2 linked regions of the Astyanax mexicanus genome follow. The protein of the gene in region 1 interacts with the protein of each later gene in a pairwise test. Links are inferred from orthologs where the notes say so. Each region holds a gene or a part of one and is shown on either strand. Other genes may lie near its edges.

Region 1 (8,027 bases):
CACTTACTCATAGCTATACTGTGACATACTGACTACTTCCACACTATCCATATCTACATCTGTGCATATCTGTTCTGTGCAATATTTGTCTATAGTGTAAGTTATCATGTTTATTGTAATTAAGTGTATTGTAAATAGTGTTTATACTGTAAGTTATCTGTATGTCCTATTTTTATATATTTTATATTATTTTATTACTCTCTTGTAAATATTATTCTTTGCGCATTGGTGGGAATCTGCACCCAAGTTTTTCACTCACATGTACACCTGTACTCTGTGACGTGACAATAAAAATCTTGAATCTTGAATTGAATCTTGAATCACATGTGCCCAGGGAAATGGGCAGCATTTGTTGTAGTGTCCAGAGAACAGAGAGGGTTAAGGGCCTTGCAGCAGCTTAGCAATCTCTTCGTATGTATATATTTTTCGATTTGCTACATTTTAATTTTTTTTTTTTATAAAGTCTCCTCACCTGTTTCTCATCAGGCGGCAGTTTGCTCCACTCATTGCCAAGCATCCTGGTGATTTCTGGGAAGGGTACGTCCGGTCTCTCGGCACGCAGTTGCTCCCGCCGATCATTCATAAATCGTACATATCCGGTTAGGGGAGCTTTGGGTGCATTGCTGTCCTTTAAAGGCTTCTTTCTCTTCCTTCCTTTAGTCCAACTTGCCCTGCGTGGTTTCTGAAGGGCCAGAGAAAGACAGTCTCTGAGACCAAATTCAAAATCTTAAAGTTTAAATCAAATCATTATTCATCCCTCTCTATCTGCATCTTCTACAGTGATAGAATACTCAGAAAAGACATCTCTATGCTGATAGAGAGAATGATTCTGGTTGATATGGATTATTTTATGTACTTTCATTTTATTCAAAATATTTAATTATCATTAATTACAGTGTTACCTCCTCTCCATTCCTCTGGCTGCTGTTATCTGTGTTCGCTCCAGGTGAAGCACTCTGCTCTTCCATATCTTGTTACTCTTCACACACTAAACAGAACTACAGAACATCACACACAGACACACACATACGATATACAATAACCATAAGGTCACATTCTGTATCTCTTTCACAATTTTTCAGGGCATTTTTGCAAGAAATATATTATTAGTAATATGGAAAAGAAACATGGAAAAATATTTCATTACATTTCAACAAATATTTTACTGCAATACAAAAAGAAAGTTTTATTTCATGTAAGCTTAACAGTTTCAATCATTCAGCAAAACAAACAAAAATCGATCGTTTTGAATATTAAAGTAATTTACAAAGCAATTTGTATAAACTAATGAATATAAATAATAAATAAATAAATAATGTAGCATGAATACAATTTAATGTAGCAAAACAATCTGTCACAATACTAAATTGCAGAATATTAAGTACTTGCACTTATCACATAATCTGCAAACATAATACCATACATAATACATTTTTGGGTGGTACTTCCTCAGTGGTAATCTAAAGTATAAAAGTATACTTTTTTACAAAATATTTCTACATATTCCTGTACAGCTTTAATGACTTCAATATTAAATTTACAACGCAAAATCATAAAAAGAAATTAAACACACTGAATGAGAAGAGGTAAACACGATATGGCACACTCCTCTTACTTATACCTACTAACCCAAGTCTGAACAAAGCACAAAATTCTGCTATTTGTGTTTATTTTTGGGTATATCTTTATTACCTTTTATACAGCGAAACTGGCAAGTCTTGGCAGCATTGCAGACAATAAAATAAGTGTTAGTCTAATCAGTTAAGTTAGGGCAGTGTTTCTCAACCCTTTTTCTATCACGTCACCCTTTAAATATTTGCGAGATGTCAAGGCACCACAGTTTACGGGGGGGGGGGGGTGGGGGGGTGCTGGCGCAGTACTTCAGGTGAGAAGGGGGGGGGGGGATGCTGGCGCAGTACTTCAGACAACGAGGGGGGGGGGGTATGGGGGGGGCTGGCGCAGTACTTCAGGTGAGAACGGGGGGGGTGCTGTTGCAGTACTTCTGGTGAGAACGGGGGGGGGGGGATGATGGCGCAGTACTTCAGGTGAGAACGGGGGGTGTTGCTGGCGGAATATGAAATAAAATAGCGCGTCACAATTAGCGCGATTAGTGCTGCCTGTGATTTGGGACACACCCCGGCACCCTGGTTGAGAAACACTGAGTTAGGGCACTATCCAAGTCCAGGTCCGGGGGCGCCTCCCTGATTTTTTTTTTTTTTTTGCAAATTGGAATGTTATTTAACTTATATTCTCTATTTTTGAATTTGGTGCCTTATCAATATTCAGAAATGGGTATGGCCTCTTATGGGTTAAAGAATTTTCAGTTCCACTTTAAATTTTTCAGAATGTAACTAAGTTAGTTAACCTATCCTAGCTAAGAAACCATGTTTGGTAGTTAACTAGCTAATTACATTTGTTAGCTAACCTAGCGTTAGCTACCGCTAACGTTACCTTTTGTTGCCCGTCCCAAAACACCGAGTGGCTGTGTCCGAACCTGTAACGTTAGGTATTTGTCTCATTAGACTGTAGACAATATTTAGCAATCTGTGTTACAAACACATTACACTTACATTAAAAACATTATTAGCTAACTAAAACACTGACAACTTGCTGTCATAAATGCGGTCAGACTGAGGTAACTTACTAGGATGCGATATGAATGAGCGAAACAGACTAAGACATAAATACGTGATTTTCTGCGATCATAATACTTTATTTGTATAAATTTGAGACACAGCCTGTGTGGATATGCTGCACCAGTTAAGGTGGAATGAGAAATCCGAGTAAGAAAATTAAGTCAAATTCAGCCTCTGCGAAACATCTAGTTATCGCAGTTCTCCTGTAGCTACAGCTGTGACTGTAATCTGAACCTAATTAAAACCCTGATTATTAGAGTCTCTGCGCCGTGCAGGATAAACTCAGCTCATCGTGTTTAGACCCGCAGCAGCGACCCGACCGCAGCGGCTCCACAACACTACACTGAACTACAGCGCTTCTAACGGCGCTTCAGTACCAGAACACGGGCTGAGAGCAGCGCAGGCGAGCCCGCGGGGACAGTAAGAGAGTCACTGACCTGTATCTGACAAAATCGGAGTGTTTCAGGAGATTTTCTAAATAACAAACTGCACGAACCAAAACAATGCAAATAGCCACACGTCCGGCGTCATCACACGGCGACGGGTACGAGCTTGGTGGCGCTGTGGCCGCGGATGTACACAGTTTATGAATATGAAATATATTTAAAGTCTAAAGGCGGATTATTTGATCAATGTAATGGTGCGTTTAGATGTATTTGGATCAGAGTCGCGTGGTGCTTTTGGGATGTGTTATTTTGAGTCTACCGATTTGGACATTTTTCCCGGGGACTAGTTTGTGTGGCGGAGGGATATAGATCGGTGTTGGTGCATTCTCTCGCGAACTGACAGTGTGACCGTTGGCGCCCCCTGCTGAGACAGCGGGTTAAATACAGCCTGTAGTTTTCTATACTGTAGTCCCCAGATCAGCGCTTCATCATAAACTAAACAATATAAAATGGGGATAAATGGGGTGAATGCTTGTGATGGAATTCACGTGAGTTGTTTGTGAGTTCATTACAGTTAATGGCTGCTGTGGACAAAGTTGCAGCGTTTAAGGAGAAATTCGGTGTGAAATGGACTTGGGGTTTAGTGAAATATGATAAGTATGAACATTTGTTGAATATCTCACCTCCATTCAACCCCAGATTCTAAAATACAGCACTTTAGCGCATGCTCTGAACAGGCTTACAGTGCTAATGATAGGGACGTAGCGCTGCTTATGGCATTTCCAATGAATTAATTTGGCAGTCTGCTCTCTTATCCCAGCTATTCTTTCGTGCTTGTCAGTCAAATTATCATGACTTAATTTCAAGATGGCAGCATGCGGATAACTACCTCAGGGTACTGTGTGTATAAACAGTCTTTTTAAAGAACTGCTGGTGCACTTTTAAAGCTCTCAGTGCCTCATTTTAAATGTCAGGTCTTTTGGAATTCTACCAATAAAGTGTGGAGCTACTTTGATCTTGTTAATAGTGTAAAATTAGTGATAATGTTGTAAAATTAGTGAACTCTATGCCCCTTTTGCTAGCATTGTAAACCTGTTGGGATTATCGGCTAAAAGCGGTGAATAGAGGTGGACTATTCGACAAAAGTTTGTACTCATCATCATGTTTCACTTCACCCCAAGTCCATTTCACACCAAATTTCTCCTTTAACTTTCACACACAACGTTACATACTTATTCTAATTTATTTTACATTAATGGCATTTGTAGTGGCATTTTGTTGGTGTTAAATGGTGATGTTGGGACTAAGCAGGAACTAATGGATAGAGCTGCATTAACAAATAAATCAATTCTATTAACAACCAAATAACTATATAGCTTTTAATATATATTTACAATATAATCTCAGTTAATCTGAAAATAGTGCTTAAGTGATTTCCCAGGCTAAAGATTTTTCCATGATATAATATCCTTTTTTTTATGACATTTTCATCATGGTTCTGTAAAAACCAGAATCAAATGTGCTTATAGTCAGATACCAAAATACACAAAAGAAAAATAACACATACATTCATAAGTCAGATCCTGTGGACGTAGTAAAATAAAATAGTTAAGTTTAGAAGTAAACTTAGCCTGTCTATAAGGCCAAATAAGCTGCCCTCTAGTGATTGTTTTTAAGATTCTCTAAATAAATCAGTCAGGCCTCTTCCAAATCCCTGTATCAAAACTCCCTCGCTCTGTCTGTCATTGTCTTTAAATGTAATCAGAAAAGGCTTGTATCTTCAAAATGGCAACTTTACTGGAAAAGAGAAAAAAAACTTTTGTTTTCAATTAAATTAAAAGTAAAGAATTTTGGATTATTTATAGTAGTCCAATAATCATTAAATTCTAATATAATATGAATTTCCCAGATAAGTCAAATAAATATGTCAGCTGACATAAGTGAAACGTTTTTATATGTAAGCAACAATATGCATCATCTCTATAAATTACTAATCTGAATAATAATGAAGTAGCGCAATGGTCTTTTGAATAAGAAGTAGTATACATGTACATGTCAGGTTGTCAGTTAGAGGTGTGCTATCAAACTGTACAAAATTCTTTTTTTAGAAATAACAAAAATAGTGGTATTCTGTCTCAAAAGCAGTATAAATAAATTCTAGACAAATGTTTACAGATAGTTTTTTTTTTTCAAATTTTCTTTTTTAAGTTATACTAAATCGTCAATGACAACAACATAATTGCAGGAATTGGGTGGCACAGTGGCTTAGTGATTAGTAGTTTGCTTTCCAGTGCTGACATCTTAGGTTTAAGGACAAATTGGTAAATTGGATAGTTTAAATTCCCAGAAAAAATAGATTCTCTAATGACATGTAAATAAAATGTGGTTGCAATGATTCAATTTTGACTTTTCATTCATACTGACTGTTAATTAAAACTAAATTCCAATTACATCTTTATTGTTTATTATTTAACTGTTATATAATAAAACGTACTATAGATAGATAGATACCTGCTATCTTCTATACTTAATTTATTCTTTTAATCTATCTATCTATCTATCTATCTATCTATCTATCTATCTATCTATCTATCTATCTATCTATCTATCTATCTATCTATCTATCTATCTATCTATCTATCTATCTATCTGTTATACTTAAGCAATAGAACACGAGAGGGAGTGTGTTATCGCGAAATAAAGCATATTCAAACTGAATAAATTTTTTTTTCTTAAAGTTCAGTTTGATGATCTACGGCACGAGCCAAACCAAATCACAGCTGTAATGTTATTCGTGATAACACACAACCTCGAGTGTTCTATTGCTTTTATACAACTAAATAAATTACTAAATAAATAAAGAAAATAAATCAAAGAACTTTGAGAAATTCAGTTTGAATATGCTTTAATATGGACTGAGCCTTCCGCCAAAAAGTAGTTCCACCACAACTTAACTACATACAGTGTATGGTTCAGGCAGACTAACACCACGAAAGTTAGCTTGAAAGCAAAATTGGGAATAGTGAAGATGGTAACGTTAGGAGCGTGAAATAACACTAATACTCTCCTCTTCTGCTCCGTGGAGTCGTCTTCAGGTGAAAGCCGCGAATTTTAGCATTTCTGCTTATTTTCCTGGGTGGTGTTGGTTTTAGCTAGCTGGCTGGACTGTGGTTAGGTTAGCGAAGCTTGCTTTAGCTCAGCATTAACTTAGCTTAGCCTAGCCTGGCTGGTTAGCGTTCTGGCTGTAAGACGGAATTAACCGAGCGATTTTCGTTCCCTTTTTTCCACGAAAGACGAGCCAGCGCTGCGGGCGAGCGTGCCGCGGCTGAGCTCTAGTCTGTGCTAAGCTAACGCTGCTGCGGGTGTCCTGTGTATATACGCTGTTACTTTAGTGTGAGAAGGCCGTGATGTTATCATGAAATATCATCACGGCTAGATCACTTCTCAACCAATCAGATTGTGAGGTCGGAACTAACTGTTGTATAAAATATAACATACTATATTTATTATACTTAATGTTCACCCCATATGGCATTTTAATGTTCTTGTTGCATGTTTTTAATTTAAGCGAGCTGACGTTAAAACATGTCTGTATATACTGCGATTTTTCTAAAAGAAAGGTAACGGAGCTAACCATGTAAACTGTTATAAGATTATTTCTGATAGCTGGTTAAAAATACACAAATCAAACCCCAGAGATCAAACCCACTGTGAGCTTAATTAAATACAGTTTGTGATAGTCACTGTGACTTGTAGACTAGGATTACAGGATTACTGTCAGCTATAATGAAGGAAAATTCTTTTAGCTAGCCAAACTAGATACCTAGAAGCTGGATGTAGTGGATGGCCAGAATTTAGTACAATACTTTTTGTTGGTAGTTTAAAGCAGTTTCTTAACCCTGATCACTGCCCTGAAATTGTGTGTTTTCACCTGATCCATCATTTATTGAGTATCCCTTAGCCCCTTAGATTTACTAATGGAATATATCTGGTCCTTTGGTAAAAGCTCATGATAGACTAGGAGGGTTTGGGTTATCTAATGTTTATATTAACTTCTGCCAGAAATCTCTATGAAACATAAGGTTGCATTCTTTTACATAAAAGATTACCATGATAAGAAGTACTTTTAATCGAAACCCCCCCCCCCCCCCCCCCAAAAAAAAAAAAACCCAAAGGACCCTAAAAAAGAGTGGCGTAAATGTAAATACACAAATATATAACAGAATTGACATGTCAATAATAATAATAATAATAATAATAATAATAATTATTATTATTATTATTAAATCTGTTATATTGTTTTCAACATTAGGTGATACCTCAGCAGTTTTTTCATAATTAATTTATGAACGTATTTAATTCAGACATTGCACGCATACTTTTTTTTAACAACAGTAAATGTAAAGTGACCCTTACTTGAATGTACCTAATAATAAACAGAAGCACAGAAAATAATGGTTGATTTGTGATTAAAAGTATTTCCACAAATGTTGTTCTGAGACGCTGTAAGGTGGGCTTTGATTTAGATTAGCAGATGTGTCCCCCCCAATATCAAACCCACTCCTACGCCCTTGATTGGGTATATAGAAAGGTGCTATATGAGGCGCTTGTGTGTATAGAAAGGCACTGATGAAGTGTGATATTATGATAAATAGAAATAGATGATAGATGAAATATTAACTATACCTTATAAGATATATTTAAAAAATGCTGTAACCTCATAAGTATCTCACCTACTACAGTGTATAAACAAGAATAGAAAGAATATATGCAAGAATATATAAACATATAAATATATATATATATATATATATATATATATATATATATATATATATATATATATATATATATATATGAAATCTATACAAAGTATAAAAGTAACCTGTAGATATGAGGTAGTGCAGTAATGCAGAATAAATTAAGTATAAGGGATAGCAGGTATCAGCAGACAACAATACTGAATATAAACCTGTGTTTAAGTTAAGTGTAAGTAGTGCCCAGG
Region 2 (8,300 bases), on another chromosome or scaffold:
TACGAAAGTACCAAATTTAAGTAAAATGTCACAATGAACAGAAATACTTTAGTAAAGATACTTTAAAACTTATTTAAATATTGTGAGAAAATCAATTTGTTAATTCAGAATCAAACTGTGAGCAGAATGACTTGCTACACCACCTCTATCCACTACATTAGAAAAATAAATGTAGACTTACTCGCTTATTGTTTGGACTCGAGGAACGCACATATCTTCGATTCGCAGAATTCGGATGGAGAAAATACTATGACTAAAACAAGATAGACAATTTGAGTTACATTTTACATCACTTTATAAATCATTTCTGCTTGTTAAACTTCATAATAAACAAACAATAGTACAAACACTACCTTCTGCTGGAAACACTGTTGAGCTTTGTAGAAGAAAAGCTCTGATTTTTCCTCCCAATCTTCAAAACTCTGTAGGCTTCATCTGCACTGTTAACCTGAATCCATGTCAGATCTGTGGAAAAGTCAAAGAAGCAGTTCCAGTAAAAGTAAAAAAAAAAAGTATAGAGTATAAATCAAGTGTTTTAAAGTAAACACCTTAAAAAATGAATCTTTCACAATGTAAGCAGCAAAGAAGCACCAGACTAATCATCAATCTATCCACTTACCTTTGACAAACGTGTTGCCTTTGACATCTTGGCAAAGCCGAAGTACGCTCCTTCTCTGAGAACTACTCGAGGCAAAGTCAAGCAGATCATGTATGTTTTCATTGTAAATCTCACAGAAGGAGACCCAAACTGAGAACTTCACATGAGAGTCTTCCTCCAAACAAAGACTGTCTTCATTTAGATCACTGCAGCTGGAACCTACAAGTGAAGGAATAACCGAAATCACTGTCTATTGCCTTATCTAAACAAAAACTATAAATACATAATAACAACAACATAAATTTAAATGATTCTTACCCTCAAGCAGTGTGCTACAAGCAGAATTTGACATACTAGAGCTGCTTTTCTGCAGATCATTCTACAAAAAAGGAAGACAAAGGGCACATGTAAAATAAATAAATAAATAAATAAATAAAAAATGCATGAAAATGTACAAAAATTTATAATTAATTATTTCTATCAAGATATAAAATACCACACATCAAGAGGCAGCACTTTAAATGACAGTAATTTAAGTAAATATAAATACTATAATACTATAAATTACTATTGACTATATAACAATTATGCCCTCATCATTACACAATTATAAACATTCAAAACTAAGTTTGTTTGTTTTTTGTCTTCGTCACAGAACCTAAATAATCATATCAAATCAAGATGATGTTTTAAATTATGAAGAACTAAAGAGTTTTCTAATCAAATTAAAGCGTCAGCAGTTCAGAACCCTTATTAGTAGGGGTTAAGGAAAATATTGATAAACCAAATGTGTTGTGAAATTACATTTTGCAATACTGTACTGATTCTCAAAAACAAATTATTAAGAGTATATATTTATATTTTAAACCCTGAGTGCTAGATAGAAGTGTTGTACTCTTCAGATCCCACTGTTCTTGTAAACGTTTTTGCTCAGATTTTATAGTCGTGTGTTTTTAAACAATGACAGTGTTCCTAAAATTTGACTTTTTGAGATCACAATACAAAGTCTTGCTTACAGAATCACAATATATTAACTAATAACCGCTATATTGTGATATGAAAGAAAAACAAAATAATAATAAGTTATACCTCTTTATATCTTCTCAGAAGGTTTTTCTTAATTGTAGCCTCTGCATCCTGCTGATCCTTAGTCAGTCGAGTGAAGTCTATGCAGCGGTGGGGCTTGATGTTATTCTGAGTGTAGATTCTTCCCTCAATACTATTAAAGATCACTTTCAGTGACCTTGGCAGAATTCCCACATCGGTTTCAGGTCCTTAGAAAAAGATGCGGAAAATGGATTACATATATTATATAAGTTAACATTCCAATTAAAACAAAAATGAGACCTAAAAGAAAAAAAAACTCACCTAAAAATGTGAAAGTTTTCCCTGCATTAGTAACCCCATAGGTGAAAATCAGGGAATTTTGTCCTGCCAGAACATCTTTCACAAGAGCTTTTGTTGTTCCATCAAATATCTGCCTTTGTGTAGTTTCTGGACTATACACCTGCACAATATCATCAGTTTTAACAAAACATGATTAACACAGGGTTAAAGGTTTTTCACTGTGCCAGATTTTACAGGGTAGATGAACACTATTTAGACTGTGTACCTTTGAGAACTGAAATCTCTGTGCAATTTGAGGTCCTAGTTTCTCACTTTGCCTGGCTGTTAGAGATGATCTTGGAGCCTTTAAAACCACAGTGTCTGGAGACTCGATTGAAATGCAGTCCTAGTCAGGAAAATCACAGTTAAAAAAATATAATTACAGTTCTACCATCTGCTTACACTATTACAGTTATGCTTTGCATCTAAAATTTAACACCAGCTTATTATAAATATTTCGATACCTGTGATTCACCGAAATCACTCTCTGTGGAGGTAAAAGGGCGTATCCTGAGGTAGACCTGCAAATGCTCCCTCTCCAATAACACAGAGTCCTATAAAGCAAAGCATGGTTCGTTGTATAAAAAAAATGCAGATTTTGTTCTTAATTGTTATATACAAAGAAAAATGTAAAAGAAAATCTCAAAAATAATTTGTGAAATGTAACCAACAACAATAAAAAGGTAGTCATTTATTAAAATGGCTAAAACAGAATCAGGTGCACCGAAACAAAATGTGGGGCAAGATAATTTAATTGTTTTCTGTATATAATGAAAATCTACTTTATTTTGGCTCAATCTGATGGAAGATTCTGTACTTGACATTGAGCTAGACAATATAATAAATCTTTTATTGTGTTGCAATAAATATTTTTATTGTATCGACAATAAGCATATTGAGGATATCATCATTACTTAAAGAACAGCGACCAAACTGTACAGTTCATTACAGAGAGTGTAAATTGTATTGACCATGTGCAACCAAATATCCAGATGCAAGATGAGCAGCAAAAATTAAATAAGAATCAATGTACAGTGCATGAAAGAATATTTGACTAGGAGAATCTGATGCATTTTGTCTGCTTGAGTACTGGGTATTGTGAAAATGTCTTTAAACATTGTGATATAATATTGGTACCATATCACCCAGCTCTGTTGGTTTGTAATTACATACACCAATGGTTGTGGCTTTTATACGGTTAATATCAATATCAGAATTGTTATAGATGAAATATATTGTGATATTAGGGCTGGGCAATATGACCCTAAAATATCACCACCATATGTTAAGGTGTTTTTGAGATAGCAAACTTCTTGACAATAGGACAATTTATTCATTTAAAAATAAACTGCAGCAGAACTCATTTAAAATAAATTTTAAAATAAATCAAAAATAAATACATTATTTTATTTTCTACATTCAGTAGAGAGAAAAACATCTATAACCATTTGTCAATTTTGCAAACAGTAGCTTATCAATACTGATTTTGCATAAAACAAAATGTGACAAAAATAATAAACAATGTAGAAATAATAAAGCAATGTGGCCACAAAAGTGCAGCATATTTAGTGCATACATATAAACTGCAAACAAACAATCAAAACAAAAATAAATATGGTAAATATATAGCAAATCAAGCACCAATTAGACAGCTGTCAACAATACTGTATATATTATGATATGGAGTTTTTTCATTGTGTCTAAAATGTTGGAGATATTATTGCATATAATATGATACATCATAGCACACTCCTGCGTGATACAGATTTTTGCCAATTCATCCAGCCCTATTTTGACACCAACTGTCAAGGTTGAATTTCCTGGGACAGCTGGACCTGACTGATTTTATAGATAAAATTAAGATTAAATATCCATAAATATAAAGATCCATTAATATACTCTATAAGTCTTGACATGGATTGGTGGTAACACTTGGTGGTAACACTTGTATACAATGTAGTAAACTATACCAGGTCTAGTATTAGCTGTTACAGACAGAGACGATAAAAGATGAAGGTTAAGCAGGGAAACAATACCTGGGTTGTGGGTATTTTGGAGAATTCGACAAACAGATCTTTTCTCAGATCTTCCACAGTGACAGCTCCCACTCTCTCCGGTTTATAATTCAAGCTGGACTCCATGACTCTAAAAGAGACAAAGAGAAACAGACCTCAGTGAGGAACATCAACACGCTGCTGATCAGCATGTAACTAATGAATAGAGCAGTGTGAGTATACCAACGCTAAGTTACCTACCTTAAATAACGCTAAGACTTCCCTGATTAATCGTTGCTACCGCTGATAGACTGTATCCATAGTAAAAGAAGCGGAGTGTGATGATAAATTAGTTATTCATCTTATTATTTAACTAGCAAACCAAGCTAGCTTAAAACACAGTTGAAAGGACGTAACCTAGCGTAGCCAGCCTAGCTAACGTTAACCTGCGTCTATCCTACACGCTTCAAAAGCAGCTCAAATAAGCTAAAACGAACTAAAACGCATATTGGCTGTGTAACTACAGATAAACTAACACGCAACTATCCCTAGCAAGACTATTTAGCTAGTTTTAAACCGGTTTAAATCTAACCCTGTTCATAATATGTACCGAGCGCCTAGTTTAGTACTGTTGTGTTCACGGCTGCCGCGGTCCTCCGTTCAAATCGCACCAATCAAATTGCTTCCAGCGAGCCGCAGTGGCCGTTGGGACCGGAAGTCACGAAGATGTAGTTTTAAGCAGTTCGACTTGTGGTAAGATTTAATGGACTGATGTACACATATGAACTACAATTCCCAAGAGCAGCCATCAAAATCGCAAACCCACATGTTTAAACAGTGTCCATGCTTCAACAAGCTGTACCGCTCGCTAGCATTGTAAGTTAACTAGCTAGCTTAATAAGTTAGCAACGCTGCATGGCTACAAAATAATTACAATTACAATATTGCTAGAGAAAGCCTGTTCTCTGTCAGATATTACTCTCAGCATTATAAACCCATGTGTATATTTGTTTTTGGCTGTGTTGTAAGTAGCTACATTGGTTAGCTAGCTATCCTAGGTTAGATATCTAATTTGTATTTAAAAAAAGGAATATGTCTGTGTTTATGGATTTAAACATCACCGCTGGCACTGACAAGGCAAAGTTCCAGAGCACTATTGAGACCGCCGCTCACCGTAAGTTTCACTTTTAGACAGTTCACTAGTGTTACATAACGTATCTGGAACCACTGGGATTTTCAGTAGCGTTAGCGTGTTTTCTGACACATGAGCTCAACTTGGCTGGCAATGAAGCGCTAACTTGAGTTGAAGGAGGCGTGTTTGTTTGTAGGAAAATCCCTACACTCTGTAGGAATTCGACCTCCACCACTTGAGTCCCATTATACTGAGATAAAAATGATAATAAGTAAAACATTGTTTGTCTGTGTATTTCTATACAGATACAAACTATAACCAGGTGCTAAATATATAATATAGATGTAGTTTAATTATGCAGACGCTATAAAATCTGTGTAAAGTTCCTTAAAGCACTCTCCATTATTTGAACATGTACTGAACATCATCCTGAAAACATCACTAGAGGACAGTGTGTGAATCTGTGTTTGTTTACCTTTATATACAGCTCTTATATAAAAATAAATAAAATAAATATAAAAATAAAGAGACCACTTCAGTTTCTGAATCAGATTTTGCCATTTATAGTTATGTTTGAGTAAAATGAACAATGTTGTTTTATTCTATAAACTACAGACATTTCTCCCAAATTCAAATATAAATATTGGCATTTATTTGCAGAAAGTGAGAAATGGCTGAAATAACAAAAATATGCAAAATAGTTTTCAGACCTCAGATAATGCAAAGAAAACAAGTTCATATTCATAAAGTTTTAAGAGCTCAGAAATCAATATTTGGTGGAATAACCCTGGTTTTTAATCACAGTTTTCATGCATCTTGGCATGTTCTCCTCCACCAGTCTTACATGCTGCTTTTGGTTTTGGATTGCTTGTGATCATTTGTTTTCCTCTTGAATGTGTTCCATATGTTTTCAATTTGGTAAATTTAAAGAAACTCGTCATTTTAAATGGTCTTTTAATTTTTCCCAGAGCTGTATATATATTAAAGTAGCTTAACTTTATTGTCATTATAATGTACAAGTACAAAGCAATGGAATAATTTAGGTTTAGAATCTAACAAGAAGTGCAATAGCAGCAAAATATGCTTAATATAAATAGGTATGGATGAATATGAATATGGTAGTATAAATATGTTTTACAGAATATTTACAATGATTAAGAGATTGAAAAGACAATGGATTATGGTGTACAGATTTACAGTGTATATTACAATAGGAGGGTATAAACTGTTTTTTTTTTTTATAGATACAGCGATGGTAAACGAAATATTGATATATATATATATCGATATTTTCTTACACGATACACTACTATCCATGTATCATCCACTGTTATTTACAGATAAGGTAATTTATAGTAATAGTTATTATCCACAGATGAGGTAGTAGTTTATTGTGAGGTAGTTATCAGTAACACTGAACTGCAGGTTTCTTTCTCTTTCAGTTGGCTACTCCACAGTTGCAATAAATTATGTAGTGGAGGGGCAAAAGAAGAAACAGGTATTTTACCTCACCAAACGTCTTCAGAATGCTATTAACCCGATTCATTATTTCTCAGCTAACTTCGTTCTCATGTTTGTGTTGATGTTGAATGCAGCTAATTCCGACTCCGCAACCCTTAGCAGAGCTCTTTGAGACGTTTCCAACAGTACAGGTAACTTTACAAAATCTCACTATACACAATCTATGTGGGAGTCTTTTTTTCTAGTTTTCTAATTTCTGCACTCTCGTTCACATGTAGGGAAAATCCAGACCTATTAAAGTGCTGAACCGATTGACAGTTGTGGCCACAGATGCCTCTCACTTTGTAAGTGCAATTGAAATACTAAGTAATCATGTTGTTATGAACTGCAGTCACAGAAATCTGATTTTTAAACTGATTATATTTGTGATATTTACTGTAGAGGCCTACTAATGAATACAAGAATTTTGACCTTTTGGCCGTTCATCCCAAAACAGACAAACTCTTCCATGTAAGTTCAACTTTTTCTGTAAATATGTAAATTTATATTGTTGTCCCCTCTAAATATTTCTTCTCTTTGTTTAGTTCTGTAATATCCTGCAACTTTACTTTGTCTTCCAAAATGACAAACATGATGTTGTTTTTTTCTAAAACTCTGCTGAAACTGTACATGCATAATGATGTGGATTATATATAAAAAGTTTTATTTATGTGTGTATTGTGTGTTATTGCAACAGGCAGCCTGCATGAACTATGATGTGGATATTATCTGCATATCAGCCACTGAACCACAGTCCTTCCATTTCAAGAGGTCACCGGTAAACGGGGTGAGTAGAAATGTAAAATATTACTTTATTAATATATAGCTTTGGTTACACTATATGCTTACTACATTGTAGTGTGTGTGTGTGATCTGATTCTCTCTAGATAACCTCAATAAAAAAACTAAAAAGTATTTGAGACTAAGTTATAGAAAATGTTATTCTAAAATTAATTTAATATTAATATAATATAATATTATATAATACTATTTTTTTTATTGCCATAATTATATGAAATTAACTTAAAATAAAATATCATATTACAAATGTAAGAATTGTGAATTTGTGCTCTTCTCTGTTGATTCTCTAAGGCTATTGAAAGGGGAGTGTTCTTCGAGATAAGCTACTCAGCAGGCATTAGAGACCCCACCATGAAGAAGTACACCATCACAAATGCCGTCAATCTAATATCTGTGTGCAAGGGAAAGGTAATGTAATATACCATATTTACTGTCACTGATAAAAAAATGTAAACTAACCTGATATGTTTAAAAATAAATAAATCCCTATTTATTTTCTCAGAATGTCATTGTGGCCAGTGGGGCAGAAGCGGTAAGAGCACTGATTTCGGGGAAATATATATATTTTAAAAGCTTTTAATATACAGCCACATACTTCTCTTTTTTTGATGGTCAGTGCAGATGTTTTGTTAAGCTGTATTTTATTTCTGTTTTCTCATTTAGCCTCTTAACTTGCGTGGTCCATATGACATTGCCAATCTGTATCCTTTACTGTTTGGAACCATACTATAAGGGTTATGCTGTGTTTTATTGTGATAAATTATATATTTTTGTATTTAAAACCCTTTCGTGGAACTGAAATGATAATATTATAGCATAATAATGCAGTTACACACGTTTAAAGCACAGTTAATGTTTAATTAAAAATAGTTTGAGGGATTGAGAGCAT

What was found.
Region 2: the proteins of hmg20a (region 1) and rpp30 interact in binary tests that used the Homo sapiens proteins (3 or more experiments, as listed by UniProt). The two-hybrid records come from large-scale screens. The link is inferred for Astyanax mexicanus from reciprocal best matches to the Homo sapiens genes HMG20A and RPP30.

What each region holds. Positions count from the first base shown.
Region 1 is NC_064409.1:44,231,378-44,239,404, reverse strand, and holds the start of hmg20a (high mobility group protein 20A), read right to left. Parts: upstream 3,214-8,027; 5' UTR 3,074-3,213; intron 2,495-3,073; 5' UTR 2,452-2,494; intron 999-2,451; exon of another isoform or gene 989-998; 5' UTR 969-988; coding exon 903-968; intron 683-902; coding exon 473-682; intron 1-472. UniProt on the Homo sapiens protein: Plays a role in neuronal differentiation as chromatin-associated protein. Acts as inhibitor of HMG20B. Overcomes the repressive effects of the neuronal silencer REST and induces the activation of neuronal-specific genes.
Region 2 is NC_064422.1:25,766,617-25,774,916, forward strand, and holds the start of rpp30 (ribonuclease P protein subunit p30), read left to right. Parts: upstream 1-4,796; 5' UTR 4,797-5,070; coding exon 5,071-5,152; intron 5,153-6,552; coding exon 6,553-6,608; intron 6,609-6,705; coding exon 6,706-6,762; intron 6,763-6,849; coding exon 6,850-6,915; intron 6,916-7,012; coding exon 7,013-7,081; intron 7,082-7,307; coding exon 7,308-7,397; intron 7,398-7,702; coding exon 7,703-7,819; intron 7,820-7,913; coding exon 7,914-7,943; intron 7,944-8,074; coding exon 8,075-8,112; intron 8,113-8,300. Other genes in the region: kif20bb (kinesin-like protein KIF20B), read right to left, coding at 182-253, 354-465, 620-817, 917-977, 1,688-1,872, 1,967-2,105, 2,211-2,330, 2,449-2,538 and 1 more. UniProt on the Homo sapiens protein: Component of ribonuclease P, a ribonucleoprotein complex that generates mature tRNA molecules by cleaving their 5'-ends. Also a component of the MRP ribonuclease complex, which cleaves pre-rRNA sequences.